Linked DNA regions of Pelodiscus sinensis. The protein of the gene in region 2 interacts with the protein of the main gene of each other region in a pairwise test. Links are inferred from orthologs where the notes say so. Each region holds a gene or a part of one and is shown on either strand. Other genes may lie near its edges.

The links.
Region 1: the proteins of JADE1 (region 2) and YJU2 interact in a two-hybrid assay, tested with the Homo sapiens proteins (2 studies listed by BioGRID and IntAct). The two-hybrid records come from large-scale screens. The link is inferred for Pelodiscus sinensis from reciprocal best matches to the Homo sapiens genes JADE1 and YJU2.

Annotation. Positions count from the first base shown.
Region 1 is NC_134729.1:22,304,633-22,312,226, forward strand, and holds the start of YJU2 (splicing factor YJU2), read left to right. Parts: upstream 1-4,560; 5' UTR 4,561-4,659; coding exon 4,660-4,683; intron 4,684-5,245; coding exon 5,246-5,346; intron 5,347-6,721; coding exon 6,722-6,866; intron 6,867-7,311; coding exon 7,312-7,446; intron 7,447-7,594.
Region 2 is NC_134715.1:50,834,021-50,841,891, forward strand, and holds the start of JADE1 (protein Jade-1), read right to left. Parts: upstream 3,068-7,871; 5' UTR 2,868-3,067; coding exon 2,807-2,867; intron 1-2,806.

The DNA of each region.
Region 1 (7,594 bases), on a different chromosome or scaffold from region 2:
AGCATTCAAATTTTATTTTATTATTTGGATGGATAATATTGCTGCTTGCTTTTAAACATTTTCCCCAGTTTTTATCTAATTAAATGTTCACTGTTATAGGAATGTAACCCTTCTGTCGGGTAGGGCCGGGTTCAATATATAGGGGTCCATCCCACACAGAACCAGCTCGAGCCCCACCCAGTAGCCTAGGAAATTCACACACCCCTGGGCGTCTTTGAGAGGCAATGCTTCCCCACTCGCAAGCACAGAGTCTGAGGCTACGTCCAGACTGGCATGATTTTCCGCAAATGCTTTTAACAGAAAAATTTTCCGTTAAAAGCATTTGCAGAAAAGAGCGTCTAGATTGGCACGGATGCTTTTCCGCAAAAGCATTTTTTGCGGAAAAGTGTCCGTGCCAATCTAGATGCACTTTTGCGCAAAAAAGCCCCGATTGCCATTTTCAGAATCGGAGCTTTTTTGCGCAAAACAAATCTGAGCTGTCTACTCTGGCCCTTTTGCACAAAAAGACTTTTGCCCGAACGGGAGCAGCATAGTATTTCTGCAAGAAGCACTGATTTCTTACATGAGATCATCAGTGTTCTTGTGGAAATTCAAGTGGTCAGTGTAGACAGCTGGCTGCTTTTGCGGAAAAACTTGCCAGTCTAGGTACAGCCTGAGTGTAGAAAAGAAACTTTTAATGAAAGAGAGAGAAAAGTCACATGGCATTAACTTGGGAAAATACCACAAACAGAGTTCATAACCCCCCACGAGTAACCATCCCATCTCCAAGGGATTGAGCAATGTCCTTTGCCCTCAGGCTCACCAGTCATTGGCTGTGTCTAGACTGCATCCCTTTTTCGTAAAAGGGATGCAAATTAGACATATCGCAATTGCAAATGAAGCGGGGATTTAAATCCCCCCTGCTTCATTAGCATAAAAATGGCTGCCGCTTTTTCCCGGCTCGGAGCTTTGCCGGAAAAAAGCGCCAGTCTAGATGCGGATCTTTCGGGAAATAAAGCCTTTTCTGAAAGATCCCTTATCCCTCTTAAAATAAGGAATAAGGGATCTTTCAGAAAAGGCTTTATTTTCCAAAAGATCCGCATCTAGACTGGCACTTTTTTCCGGCAAAGCTCCGAGCCGGAAAAAAGCGGCAGCCATTTTTATGCTAATGAAGCGAGGGGGATTTAAATCCCCCCTTCATTTGCAATTGCGATATGTCTAATTTGCATCCCTTTTATGGAAAAGGGATGCAGTCTAGACACAGCCCATCAGTGTAAGGGTCCCATTCACTTACCCAAACTTTCTCCCTACCCCACTTCAAATGCCCTACTTACAGCTCTGTCCAGTCAGTGCGGACTCTGACACATCACCCTGATGACTCCACTCATTGAGCCTGAGGCCATGCCACCTTTGAGCTGCTCCTGTGGTCCGCTTGTGCCGCCTGCCACCAGGCCTACCGGCCACCCACTGGTCACTCCCGCCGGCAGCCCAGCTGGCTGCTGCTCCTACCAACCGCCCCACTGGCCGCCCGCCATTCCCGCCAACTACCCATTCCCACCAGCCGCTCCTACTGGCCATCCGCCAGTCATTCCCACTAGCCACCCCGCTGGCCTCCCGTTCCCGCCAGCTGCTCTGCTGGCCACCCTCTGGTCATTCCCGCCAGCCGTTCCACTGGCTGCAGTGGGTCTGGCTGTAGGCCAAACCAGTGACTTCAGCTCTTAGTCTATGTCTACACTCATGGCTTCTTGCGCAAGATCATCTTGGCTGTGTCTAGACTGGCAAATTTTTCCAGAAAAACTTGCCAGCTGTCTACACTGGCTGCTTGAATTTCCACAAGAACACTGACAATCTCATGTAAGAAATCAGTGCTTCTTGCAGAAATACTATGCTGCTCCCGTTCAGGCAAAAGTCCTTTTGTACAAAGCTTTTGTGCAAAAGAGCCAGTGTAGACAGCTCAGATTTGTTTTGTGCAAAAAAGCCCCAATCGCAAAAATGGCAATCGGGTCTTTTTTGCAGAAAAGTGCATCTAGATTGGCCACAGATGCTTTTGCACAAAAATGCTTTTGCAGAAAAGCACCTGTGCCCATCTAGATGCTCTTTTCCACAAATGCTTTTAACGGAAAACTTTTCCATTAAAAGTATTTGCAAAAAATCATGCCAGTCTAGACATAGCCAGGGGAAAGAGGCAGGTTGAACCAGTCTTACAATTCACAACTGGCAGGCATGAGCAGGCTGGCTCAAGCTCCCCCCCCCCCCCCCCCCCCACTCAACTCTGGAAGGGGGAGGCTTGTTCATCTGAGACCCCTTGCAGTGATGGTGGGTCTCCTGTAAGCACTGGTGTCATATTTTACAGTTCCCACATTTAGGGGTAGCATGATTTGTGACCCCCACAACAGCCCAAATTAGTTACAATACATCACATTCCATTCCAACAACTGATCCTCCATCAGCCTTGGCTGAATTGGATTTACATAACCACACCTCAGATTCCTTCCCCATCCTGGCATGAGCTGTATTCACATATCAACAGTTAACAGTTAATTATCTTGCAGAGCTAAACAATTTGGCTACATCTATACTGCAGGCTTCTTGTGCAAGAACTGTTTTGCGGAAGAGTTCTTGTGCAAAAGGTCTTTCACAAGAGTGCGTCCACACTGCCATGTGCTTTTGCACAAGAGCGTCCATGGCAGTGTGGATGCTCTCTTGCGCAAGAAAGCTCTGATGGCCATTTTAGCCATAGGGGTTTCTTGCGCAAGAAATTAATGTTGCCTGTCTACACTGCCTTCTTGTGGAAGAGATTTCGCGCAAGAAGGCTTATTCCTCATGGGGAGAAATAACTCTTCCAGAAGAAGCCCTGTTTTCCGAAACTGTACTGTAAATTTACTTGCACAAGAATGCACATGCAGTGTAGACGGTCTGTAAGTTTTTGTGCAAGAACATCTGTTCTTGCACAAAAAGCCAGCAGTGTAGACATAGCCTTTGAGTGAGCACACCCACCCCCAGGGCAGCTCTCTCCTTTTAGCTGGCTGATAGCAAGGAGTAGTTTAGCCCTTGCTTACAGGAAACAATAATTATTTAAGGACAATAGATGTTGAGAGTCAAAAAGTTAAAGCTTTATAATCATGAGAGCACAAATTGTCAACATCCCATGTAAGTATCCTTACATCAAACTAAATTCTTGAGTAGCTTTTTTTGTACTTTGCCTGGCTGTAGGTTTTGATTATTATTCATAGACATCTTTTTTGTCCTTGTGGATACTGTGAAATCAACATTTACCAATAAAAAATTGAATCCCTGCAAGCTTAACTAGGCAGGAGTCAGACTAGATTGGGGTGGGCAATAGGTGGCCCACAGGCTGGACGTGGTTCGTCAGGCTTAGCCCCTGGCGGCCACCAGACACTTCATTCACCAGCTCATGCACAAGTATGGCCACTTGCAGCTCCCGTTGGTGGGGTTCACCATTTCCAGTCAATGGGAGCTGCTAGAAGCTCGGAAGGCTAAACCACCATTACCCACAGCTCCCATTGGCTGGGAACAGCAAACCTCAGCCAATGGGAGCTGCAAGCAACCGTACCTATGGACATGAGGGAAATAAATAAAACATCTGGCAGCTTGCCAGGGGCTAACCCGGGTGAACCACATCCGGCCCAAAGGCTGCTTATTCACCCCTGGATTAGATTATCACAGTGGTCCTGCCTAGCCTTAGTGATGACATATATTTGAAGCCAGGCTTTCATTTGGGAACATGTTCAGCCGTGTTGCCAACTCTTGCAATTTTATCACACAGCTTGCTTTCATGAGATTTCCTTGATTGCTTTTGAAAGCCCCAGCAGCTGTAGTAATGAGCACACACAAGACTCTTGGCTTTAATTTTTGTAAGAAAGTTTATAGGTCCTCATGGCTGTAAAGTTTGAGAATGAGACCCAAGTACATCCGAAAGGCTCACAAGCCAGAAGGCAAATGAAAATGTATTTTTTTTAAAATAATCTCAAGATTTTTAGACCCTCCGTTGTGATTTTGGAAGATGATAGGCAACAATAGAATTTGTAGAACCAGATAACGGTTAGACGATGGGATTGTGTAGAACCAGATAACGGCAGGAGCATGTGTAGGAAGCTGGAGAAATGTTGTAGCATGCTCTTTTAAGGGGCAGAGAGAGCTCTTGCAGTGAAGCCGGGCCCTTTTATCCCTGTCATGCTGAATGTGAGGTCTGTCTGGCATTGCACCATAAACCCCACATCACTCCATATTTCCTTGCCATGGGCAAACTCGGGAGCAGGCGGCTTGTTGCCTGGCTTTTCTGTATACCACAGAGGAGGTGGCTAAATGCCCTGGGAAAGCAGTCTCTAGGCGTAGCCAATGCACCGAAACCCCGAGAGCCTCTAATGCTGAGGCACCTTCTCGCTAGAGGGTCTGGTTAGGACACAGCTCCACCCGGAACCCTTCTCGTCAGGGCTTTGCGTGTAGACGGGCTTCTTTAGTGGCCGCGCACGAGCCCAGTGGGCGGGATTAGATCGTGAGGGGCGGCAGCGAGAGCCAATAGAGAATAAGGATTTTCGGCGTCCTCTTGTTTCCGACCAATGGGAGGGTGAGGGGGTGGCTCCAGGAAGTGCCCGTTGCGCTGCGGCGGAGGGGAAGAATTAGCGGGACGGCCCGAGCTGGGCACAGACCGGGGGCAAAATGTCGGAGAGGAAGGTTTTGAATGTGAGTAGGGGGCGGGCGGCGGCCTGGCCTGGAGACGCGGGGAGGGGCCCCATAGTGGGGGAGGGGGCTGGGGGGGGAGGGAAGAGGGGAAGACCCGTTGGGGGACGTAATGGGGGGGAGGGGACAGTGGAAGGGCCAGGGGGTCCGTATTGGGGGGAGGGGCATGGGGGTCCTGTAGTGGGGGAGGGGAAAACCGGGGAGGCCATAGTGGGGGAGACATGGGGGGGTCCTGTAGTGGGGGAGGGGAAAGCCGGGGAGGCCGTAGTGGGGGAGACATGGGGGGGTCCTGTAGTGGGGGAGGGGAAAACCGGGGTGGCTGTAGTGGGGGAGACATAGGGGGTCCTGTAGTGGGGGAGGGGGCAGCTACATCTGTGCTTCTGGGAGGCCTTTATAAGTTTTGTGCGTGGGAGGCAATGGGCAGATTCCTAATGTGAGCGCGACATTGGCCCTGCTCTGATTCTCTGTGGATCCCAAAGTGCAGGAGCAAAGTCCTCTCATGTCACCCTCCCCATGTTAGGCTTTGTTCCCTCCCAGCTGATGCCTGTCTGCTTTGTTCTTGTAGAAATACTACCCGCCAGACTTCGATCCATCTAAAATCCCAAAGCTCAAGCTCCCAAAGGATCGTCAATATGTTGTGCGGTTGATGGCTCCATTCAACATGAGGTGAGAGGGCCTACGGGAACTGCGTTCTGTCACAAGAGTTTGGCGTGTTACCTAGCATATCCCTGCCGTGGTTTCTTACTATGTTTCCATCGAGCTGACCTGACTATATGTTGGAGTGGAGAGTGAATCCAGCTACTTGCAGAATGTACTGACCGGATTTTGTTAATAAGGAATGCTTTTGAGGCTTTAGTTGATTTCCTTTGAGCAACTTCCTGTGTGCACCAGAATATTTACAATTTACTCCTTTTGTGGGGCAGACCAACCTTGTATAGCTGTAAACTAAATAGCCGAATATCCTCTAGAGTGGCATAATTTAGACACCCCAACGGCTATATGTGCATACATAGCCAGATGCTTAAATAGTAAGGCTGAGCAAATGTTCAGCTGCTGCACTTGTAAGGGTCTTTCAAGCAGGCTTGAAGGCAGCGTGACCAGACTCAAGTCCAGCCAGCCATTTGCTTGTGATTGATGCATCTGCCTCTTCAGATTCAGCTTCCATGTTGCTATAAAACACCTCACCAAAAACAGGTGGATAGAAAAGAATGGGGTAGTGGATAAAACACTGCATCATGACTCAGGAGATCTGAGTTCAATTCCTGCCTTGCCTCCTTCTGTCAGCTTGGGCAAGTTACCCAATCGGTCGTTTGCCTCAGTCCTTTGTTTTTTTAATTCATAGCAGTTCATATCTGTCCACTAATAATCTCTCTCTGAATAAAAAAGTTGTTCCTGCCAGATGGCAGAATGACATCATCAGCATCAACAGGCTCTCTCAGTGAAGTGAAAGTGGCCAGAAGGGTGGGGAGGGGGAAGTAGGTCATATAAGTACCTAAATATCCAGAGTGTGCAGGTGAGCACCCCACCCCCCAACTATTATGTGAGAGGGAGGGAAGTGTCAATCAACAGAAGTAACACTGATCAAAAATTAAATGGAAAAATTAGCTATGTATCTAATGTCTTTCTGTTTTGGTCATCTTAAAGGTTATGTATAACAAGAATAGGTACAAAATGATCAAGTGGGAATGTGATTCTCAATTTGACACTGCCTACGAAAATTGGGCTTAGCTCCTTTGTATGTCAGACTCTTGTCTTTCTCTAGTTTCAGGGGGCTAACCATGTTCATTTGTTTCAGCAAACACAACAGGTCCTGTGGAACTGTAAATACTTAACACATTTATTTACTAACAAAGCTATTTGGGCATAAGCTTTTGTGGGCTGAAACCCACTTTGTCAGATGCACTGAAGTTTCCTGCCCACAAAAGCATGTGCCCAAATAAATTTGTTAGTCTTTAAGGTATCACTGGACTCCTTGTTGTTTTTTCTCTAGTTTTCTTTTATATGTTGTCAACGTAATTCACTTTCCGTTTGCTTCACGTAGGTGCAAGACATGTGGCGAGTACATCTATAAAGGCAAGAAATTTAATGCTCGCAAGGAGACGGTTCAGAATGAAGTGTACTTGGGGCTTCCCATCTTTCGCTTCTACATCAAGTGCACCCGCTGCCTGGCAGAAATCACATTCAAGGTGGAGATTTTGAATGTTCTGTATCAGCTGGACTCTCTGTGGAGGCAGCATGGTCTAGAGATTGAGGCACTGTGTGTCAGGAGACTTCAGTCCTAGGCCTAGATGGCACCCAACAAATACTGCTGTTTTAAGATAATCATAGGTCAAATTTGATCTTTGTTCCCTTTACAACAAACAGTGAAGTGTCCCATTCATAGTTTGAATAGTGCACTATTATTGGTCAAATGATGAGTGTTTCTAGGGCTTAATTATTATTTTGGCAGGAGCAGGGATGTGACTAAAACAAGGTTGAAATGCTTTGTGTAGCTTCATGTGTTGCTTTGAAAGTCACCCTGGCCATTTATAACCAGCCCAGAATACATTAAGAATGACTGGAGCAATAGCAGCCTGTCTTGCATGTGGCACACTTGCAATAATTCCCTTATGCTGCTCATGTCTTCCTCAGACGGATCCTGAGAACACAGACTATACCATGGAGCATGGCGCCACTCGGAACTTCCAAGCAGAGAAGCTGTTGGAGGAAGAGGAGAAGAGGGTGCAGAAGGAGAGAGAGGAGGAAGAGCTGAACAATCCCATGAAGGTATTTGAATGTGCCCTTTCCCCCATGGTGAATGGGCAACTTAGATTAGCAAGTCACAGGCCACTTGTTTTTCGGTGCATGGTAGGAAGCTACTGCCCCGGTTCTGCAGCAACCGTTTGGAACTGGCAAAACAGAAATGGTAACTGAG
Region 2 (7,871 bases):
AAGCACTGGGCAGAGGATGCTTTTTTTAAATGTGATCTAGAAATGAAAGCAGAAAAGCTAGAAGGGAAATTTACAGCTATTATTTTATTGGAGACATATATATGAAACATAGCTTCAAATCAGCAGTGGTGGAGAATCTGCTTCTTCAGGGAGAATCCTGTCACTAAAATGCACACTCTTGCAATTTGGAGAGAATATTCCACTGAGTATGAAAAGCTCTAGAAACAGAATCGTACCAAACATATTTTAGTGTAATGTTTATTAAGGTCTTATGTTTGCAAGCATGCTTATTTACAAAAGAAGAACTACTTGCAAAAGAGTTAATCTAAAACACAGTAAAATCTCTTTATTTGGAAATGGATGTGCCAAATAGGCTGTTTTAGCTTTTATTTAAAATAAAAGTTAAAATTAAAAATGAACAGAAAACAACTGTTGGTAGTTTGCTGTACAATTACCATAGCTTCTAATGTAACAACTCCCCAAAAGGGCAGATATCTATGCTTAAAACTTTCACGTGGCTACATAAACTAATCATTTATGTCAAGGCATGGCCCATTATTATTTGATGAGTGACAAGTCTGAAAATCTAGCATAGATTCCGTTTGCTGGCATTACAATCATTTTTATTAGAAGAATTATTACTAAGAAAGGGCCTGCAGATGAAGAATTAATCATAGGTATATTTATTCCCATAAAAAGGCAACACTAGTTCAGACCAAAGGTCCATCTGGCCCAGCGTACTGTCTATTGACAATGGCCAATACCAGGTGCTTCAGAGAGAATGAACAAAACCTGACAATTATCAACTTATCTAGCCTGTCATCCATGTCCAGCTTCTGGCAGTTGGAGATTCAGGAATATGTAGAGCATGGGACTGAATCCCTGGCCATTTAGGCTAATAAGCACTGATGGGCCTGTCCTCCATGAACATATGTAATTCCTTTTTTAACCCTGTTACAGCTTTGGCCTTTATAACATAGCCTGGAAACAAGTTCCACAGGTTGACAGTGCATTGTGTGAAGAATTATTTCCTTGTGTTTGTTTTAAACTTGTGGCCTTGTTTCATCTGGTGACCCCTGGTTTTTGTGTTGCATGGAAAGAGTGAGCAACACTCGTTTCTTGCTTTCTCCACACCATTCATGTCACCCCTCAGTCATCTCTTTTCTAAGATGAACAGTCCCCAGTCCATATCAAGATCTCTTTCTATGGAAGCTATTTCAATATCTCAATCATTTTTGTTGTCCTTCTCTATACCTTCACCATTTCTAACAAATATCTTTTAGAAGGGGCAACCAGAACTCCACACCATATTCAAGATATTAGTGTACCACAGATTCAGTTGGTGTCATTACAATATTTTCTGTAACATTTTTCCCCCGTTACTGGCTGCTACTGCACACTGACTGAATGTTTTCATAAAGCTATTTACAATGACTTCAAGATCTCTTTCTTTCAGTAGTAACAGCTAATTTAAATGCCATCATTTTGTGTATCTCACTGAGATGATTTTTTCCAATGTGCTTTACTTTCCATTTACTAACAGTGAATTTCAGCTGCAATTTCACAGAGATAAGGTGGGTGAGGTAATATCTTTTATTGAACCAACTTCTGATGATGAGAGATACAAGCTTTCAAAATACACAAAGTTGCATATAAATCTGCCATCTTATCACTCAGGTTAGTAAAATCCTTTGGTAACTCTTTGCAGTCAGCTTTGAAATGTTTGCATCATCTGCAAATTTTGTCACCTCACTTCTCATCTCCTTTTTTCCAATACATTAACGAATATGATGACAGAACAGGTTCAAATACATATCTTTGGAAGGCCCCACTATTTATCTCTCTCTCTACTGCGCTAACAATTAATATTCCTACCCCTTTGTTTCCTATTTTTAACCACGTTCTGATCCATGAGATGTCCTTCCCTCTCATCCTATGGACTACTTAGTTTGTTAGTATTTGTAAAAACCCAGGTACTCTATATAACTGTATGGCCTTTGTCCACATGCTTGTACATAGCTAATAATTGGGGAAAGTTCTAATAGATGACAAATCATTCCTTATAATTTAGGAAAGCCCTGTTGATTCCTAATCAATATACCCAGTTCACCTGTGTGTCTGATCAACTTTACTCTGATTTCAACTGATTTGCCTGGTACATAAGTTAGCCTTCCTGCTCTCTAATTACCAGGATCATCACAAAAAAATTGTTTTAATCAACAATATATTGGCTAGCCTCCAATCATCTGGTAGAGACTGATTTAACAGGTTACATCTTACAAATAATAGTTCTGCAATTTCATACCCAGTTCCTTCAGGACTGTTGGGTGAATACCATCTCCTCCCATAACTTATTGCTTGTTTAATTTATCAATTTGTTCCAAACCACCTATCCCATACCAACACCTTAATTCTCAAAGTGCTCTTGAAAACTAAATAATTCTAAAAAAAAAATCACCTACTATTGTTAATTTGCATATTGATCAAAACAAGTAGTCACTGCTGCAATAATGAACTGGAAAGCTAGAACTGCTTTCCTTACTGAAAGGCTTCCTCATTTGGGAGGCTTATTTTAAGGCCATGCTTAAAGTCTGTTTTTCAGGTAAATAAGCATTTTTGTTACTTGTATTCTTTAAATCTCGGACTCTCTATTTTTCAGATCCTCCTGGTTCAAATATATGTTCCCACTCCTAGCTCCCCAGCATGCTGAGACAGCAGTGCTAAGAGGTAGTCATGTCTCTTAAACCCGCCCAGTTTTTCCGATCCACACAACACAGGGCTCATTTATCGCCAGCCTTAGCAATACCGGTGCCGAGGGCTCGCAGCGCCGCCGCTGAAGCTGCTCGTACTGAGAGGTCCGGAGGCATCAGACACGAACAAAGACTGAGGAGAGAGGTGGAGAAGCCGGGAAGGAACAAGTATCACACTTAACTCCTGCCCCCAGCTGCGCTGCTGTCGCCGGACTAACCCCTTTTTGCGATTATGGCACCTTTTGCACAGCAGGCAAAAATCCCATTTTACGTACACCTCCCCGTCTGTCTCCATTTGAAACTGACCAGATCTCCCCCGCCTACCCTCCTCCTGTGCTCCTCCCCTCCCACCAGATGCACCAATCCGCTCAGCCTCAGCTGCAAATCAAACTTGATGCCCTCAGCTCAGCTCCCAAATCCATATCATTTCTACGGCCAAGCAACCCTCCCCATCTCCACCCCCCGCTCTCCATGTTGCAATGTCTGGGGAGGGTGAGATGGGGGACGGTTTAGACTAGGATTGAATAGCAGCAGCACTAAGACTTGAGGTTGCTTTCTGTCGGTCTCTCCTCCCACTCCCAGACAGTTCTGGAAACTGTGTATCACCTCTTGTCATAGGAAACCATCCAGCAGGCGGTGCAAACAAACACACATCTCCTACCACCACCCTCGTCAAAATAATAAAATCCGCGCCATAAACTGCTAATGAATGCTGGCGCTAATGAACACTGGCAAGAAAAAAATCAAGACCCGAAGCCTGACAATCTGCAAAATCTGAGCATGTAACGAGCAGAGTCCAGGGATACGAGTGCAGCAGGGCGGCTTTGTCTAATTTCAGCAACTGGAATAATCGCCTGCGCTGCACTCTTGCCTTCTCCTCTGGGGACGCCAAGGATAGCCCGTTAGAGCGAAATGATGCGGTTATTTGAAAAGACCATAACCTAGTCCCATTTTCCTTGTAAAGACCTTGGTAAAGGAAGAGGGGGGGATATTAAGAGCCAAAGTCTCCCTTACACCTGTGCAATCCCTCAGACATTTTGCACCACCCCCTGGTTTCATTCGTATATCATCATAAGTGCATGTCAGCATCATTTAGGAGATTTAAGAACTTCATCCGTAAACCCTATTGCCACTCATTGTATTGATTATCCATCACCGTAGTACTTGGGAAATTAATGTGCCACCCCAATGATTTAATCCGACAGTGCCCATAATAGGACCTACGTTACTCAATTGCCAGCTCCTCACAGCGCAAGTGGGCACTGCTGTCTCGGTGCGATTGCACGGGGTAGTTGTGGGCAGAATTTAGCCCTCGGTCTCTTAAGGAACAAAACATGGCTCGCAGAAGTTCCTCTCGAGCACCCGCACGTGTTTGCTTGGGCCGTGGAACCCCGCACGGATCTCAACTCGCCGGCCCCCAGCGGGAGGGGGCTGGGGAGCATCGCTTTGGATGGGGAGGTTCCTAAGCCTCCCGGCCGGTTCTTGTTGCCTCCGTGCACCTGCTTCCTTCTGCCCCTTCCCGTCCCCCCTCCCACACCCAGCCCGGAGGCGCCCGATGAAGCAAACCCCGCCTCCCTCCCGCGGGGGGGGGGGGGGGGACAATCTCCGCAGCCAGTGAGACCGTTCCGAAGGGATTCGAATCTGGGGTCAACATTCCACATTCCGGCCCTGGCCCGCATTCATCGCTCTCGCCAGCGGCACAGAAGCTGCTGCCACCCAGCAGAGCCCGAGCAGCCAAACAACCGCCCCCTCCTCCCTCAGACACACACAACACACCCCTTCCCTCCGTACACTCACACTCTCCCAACACGTGCACTTCAGGGCTGTTACAACTTGCTCTCCAGCAGGAGCTACTGTACACTCGGACTCAGTTGAAAATAAACGGCTCTACTATAGCAGTGTACTAAAAGCCTCCCCCTCCACACATGTCCATTAGTGCCTAAAATCACAATCGCGTCTAGTTCAGGACTAACCGGCCAACACTCTCCTACCCCAATAGGAAACTTCTGCCTATTTTCTCCGGTGAACGGTTTTTATACTTTGCGAGCATTTTTTTTTTAACTACAGCAAGTGAAATCCAAACACAATTTGCATGAATGTAATTGCAAAGCTGCCTGCACATAACACACACCCTTACTGCCCTTGAATTGATGCAACGGATATTTTGGACATGTGGGCGACACGGTGACAGATTCTGACTACGACCACCCCTCCCCCTTTCTATAGCGTCTATATCTAAAAGGACCTGCGCTTTGCAATTGCCATCTGTCTACCAACTTGATCCAACGCTTTTTACTTTTAAACTAGGCTGACCCAGCATTGATTAATTCAGATACCCGCGTCCCCACTCTCTTTTTTAAAAAACTACAGCAAAGTCAAATACATATACAAATTTTAAAAACCCTCAGTGCAGTATTGTGTTGATTTAGCTGGTGCACCTTGAAAGCTGCAAGAGCCTTATTTGCCATTGCAAAGTCTGCAGCAAAATGAAAACCAGCTAGCAGAACACTCCTTACATCACATCGTTTCTCAAAGCTGCAAAATAATCATCTATTTCCTCCTCCCACCGCTCCCTCCCTCCCCAGCAATGCACAAGTTGCTTGTGGGATAGTGAAGCTGCAACTCAACTGCCTCCCCTCGCTCCATATCAAGAAGCAAATCTTTTGGCGCCATATTAATGACGTACTATATTATTTCCACTAGGCAGCGACCTTCGGCATTAAATTGCTCTCTAGCTGCTTCTGGAGAACTCCAAAGCAAAGCAACAAAAACCCATCAAATATGGCTGTGCTGGCTGTTCCCCCGGCTCACTCTGCGGCGGCGGCGTGGAGGAGAGTCAGAATCTGGACACAGTTACCTGCTCCTGCTGCCGCGATGGTTGCCAGTGAGGTTGGAGTTTCTCTGCGCGAAGGGGTCTGTGCTGCCTCATGAGTTCAGACAAGCACTGGAGAGTGGGAGCAGATTGTGGCTCCCTTCACACACACACACACACACACACACACACACACACACACACATACAGACTGACTGACGTTTTTACTTGTTATGGAGGAAGGACTCTGTGAATCAAACTCATTTCTGGGTCACTGCTGCCACAGGGGGGAGCTACTTTAATCCCCTGCCAAAACTAGAAGGAGAGAGAGCGAACAGAAAGGAAAAAAACAGGGTGGGGAAGAGAAGAGGATAGACTACAACACTTAGGAACTGTCTGATTTAACTCTTCACAGCCCTCACTGGAGAAGTCGTGCTCCGTTTACAAATGCAGGGAGGTGCCTTCATTTCTGAATGGATTTTACTGAAGTATCTCTTTCTTGTGAGGAAGAATATTTTGCTTTGAGACATTTCCAGTCTAACTCACCCCCTCGCTTGAAGTCTTACTCATTCAATATTGTCACTCACTGCTTGAGAGCAGCCCTGTATTCCACTCTTACTGCCAACCACGAATATTCAAGTTCCTTGTTTTTCAAATAGTGTGCATATGTATCTTCAGCTAGTGTGCATGCACACTATTAGAAGATTTGTTTCTAGGGAATTATTTGTGCATGTTTGCACTAGGTATTGTTACTGTCTCAAAATATTTCAGAAATATTAATTTATTAATGCCTTATGCCATCCCTCTAAGGTAGGTATGGCCAGAGCTCTATTTTTTAAAGACGGGAATCCGAGTCTCAGAGCAGTTAAATAACTTGCCCACATTCATACATGAATAATGGTCAAGCCCAAGATTTAGAATGGATTTCTGATATTCAGTCTCCCATCTAACTCTTCTGCTTCCCAAACTTTTCCAAAGGAGATTGGGGGAAACAGGGCCAAAATGTTCTGAAGTTCTTTTTAAATCAAATTTAGTTCTTTTTAAATACAAGTTCAGAATAAGTGTATTATAAATAAAAGTATTTACCAAAGATTTCATTATGAAAAGGGGCATTTAAATGCAGACTAATTTTTAGTTTAAAATGCTTTTTCGTCAATCCATTAATTCATTTTCCATGAGAAAACAGTGGAGACTCTTACACAGAACAGAGTTCTATGTATAAACAGGAAAGAATAACGATATAGAGAACAGGTATTGTAATTTCAAATACAGAAAAAAAAGCTGTGTGTAAAATACAGGCAGCCCCCGGGTTACATGGATCCGACTTACATCGGATCCCTACTTACAAACGGGGTGAGGCAACCCCACACTAGCTGCTTCCCCCCAGCAGACCAGGGAGACGCGAAGCTAGCACCCCCCCCCACCACCACCACCACCAGACCAGGGAGTCGCGGAGTGGCTTTTCTCAGCAGATACCTCAGCTTGAGAATAAAGGACTGAGGGAAGTGAGGTGTGGGAGAATAAAACTGAGCTCTGGAGAAATGTTTGGCTAGAGTTTCCCCTACAATATGTACGAGTTCCGACTTACATACAAATTCAACTTAAGAACAAACCTACAGTCCCTATCTTGTACGTAACCCGGGGACTGCCTGTAATTCCAAAGACAGGAAATACATAATTACAAATTAATGCAGTTCCCCAGGGCAATAAATACTTTTACCTGGTGTGCCAGAAAGTCATACCTTAATTCAACAGAGGAATTGCTCTGCTATTCATCAACAAAATAATTTATCCAAACACACCATAAACATCTACTCACTCAGCCACCTGCAGAACTGGAGTCATAGGCTACGTCTACACTGCATGCTTATTTCAAAATAAGCTATTTCAGCAAGGAAAAATCCTCTGAAAAAGTTTATTTTGAAATAGCATGTCCACACTACAGATGCCCATCAAAATAGTGCTGTTTCAAAATAGAACGTCTATACTGATTGGAATAGTGATAGAAATGTAGCCGTGTTAGTCTGGGGTAGTTGAAGCAAAATGCAGGACAATGTAGCACTTTAAAGACTAACAAGATGGTTTATTAGATGATGAGCTTTCGTGGGCCAGACCCACTTCCTCAGATCAAATAGTGGAACTACCCCAGACTAACACGGCTACATGTTCTGACTACTTTCTTCCACTATTTGATCTGAGGAAGTGGGTCTGGCCCACGAAAGCTCATCATCTAATAAACCATCTTGTTAGTCTTTAAAGTGCTACATTATACTGATTGGAGACTTTAAAAAACCCCGGGGCATCAGGAC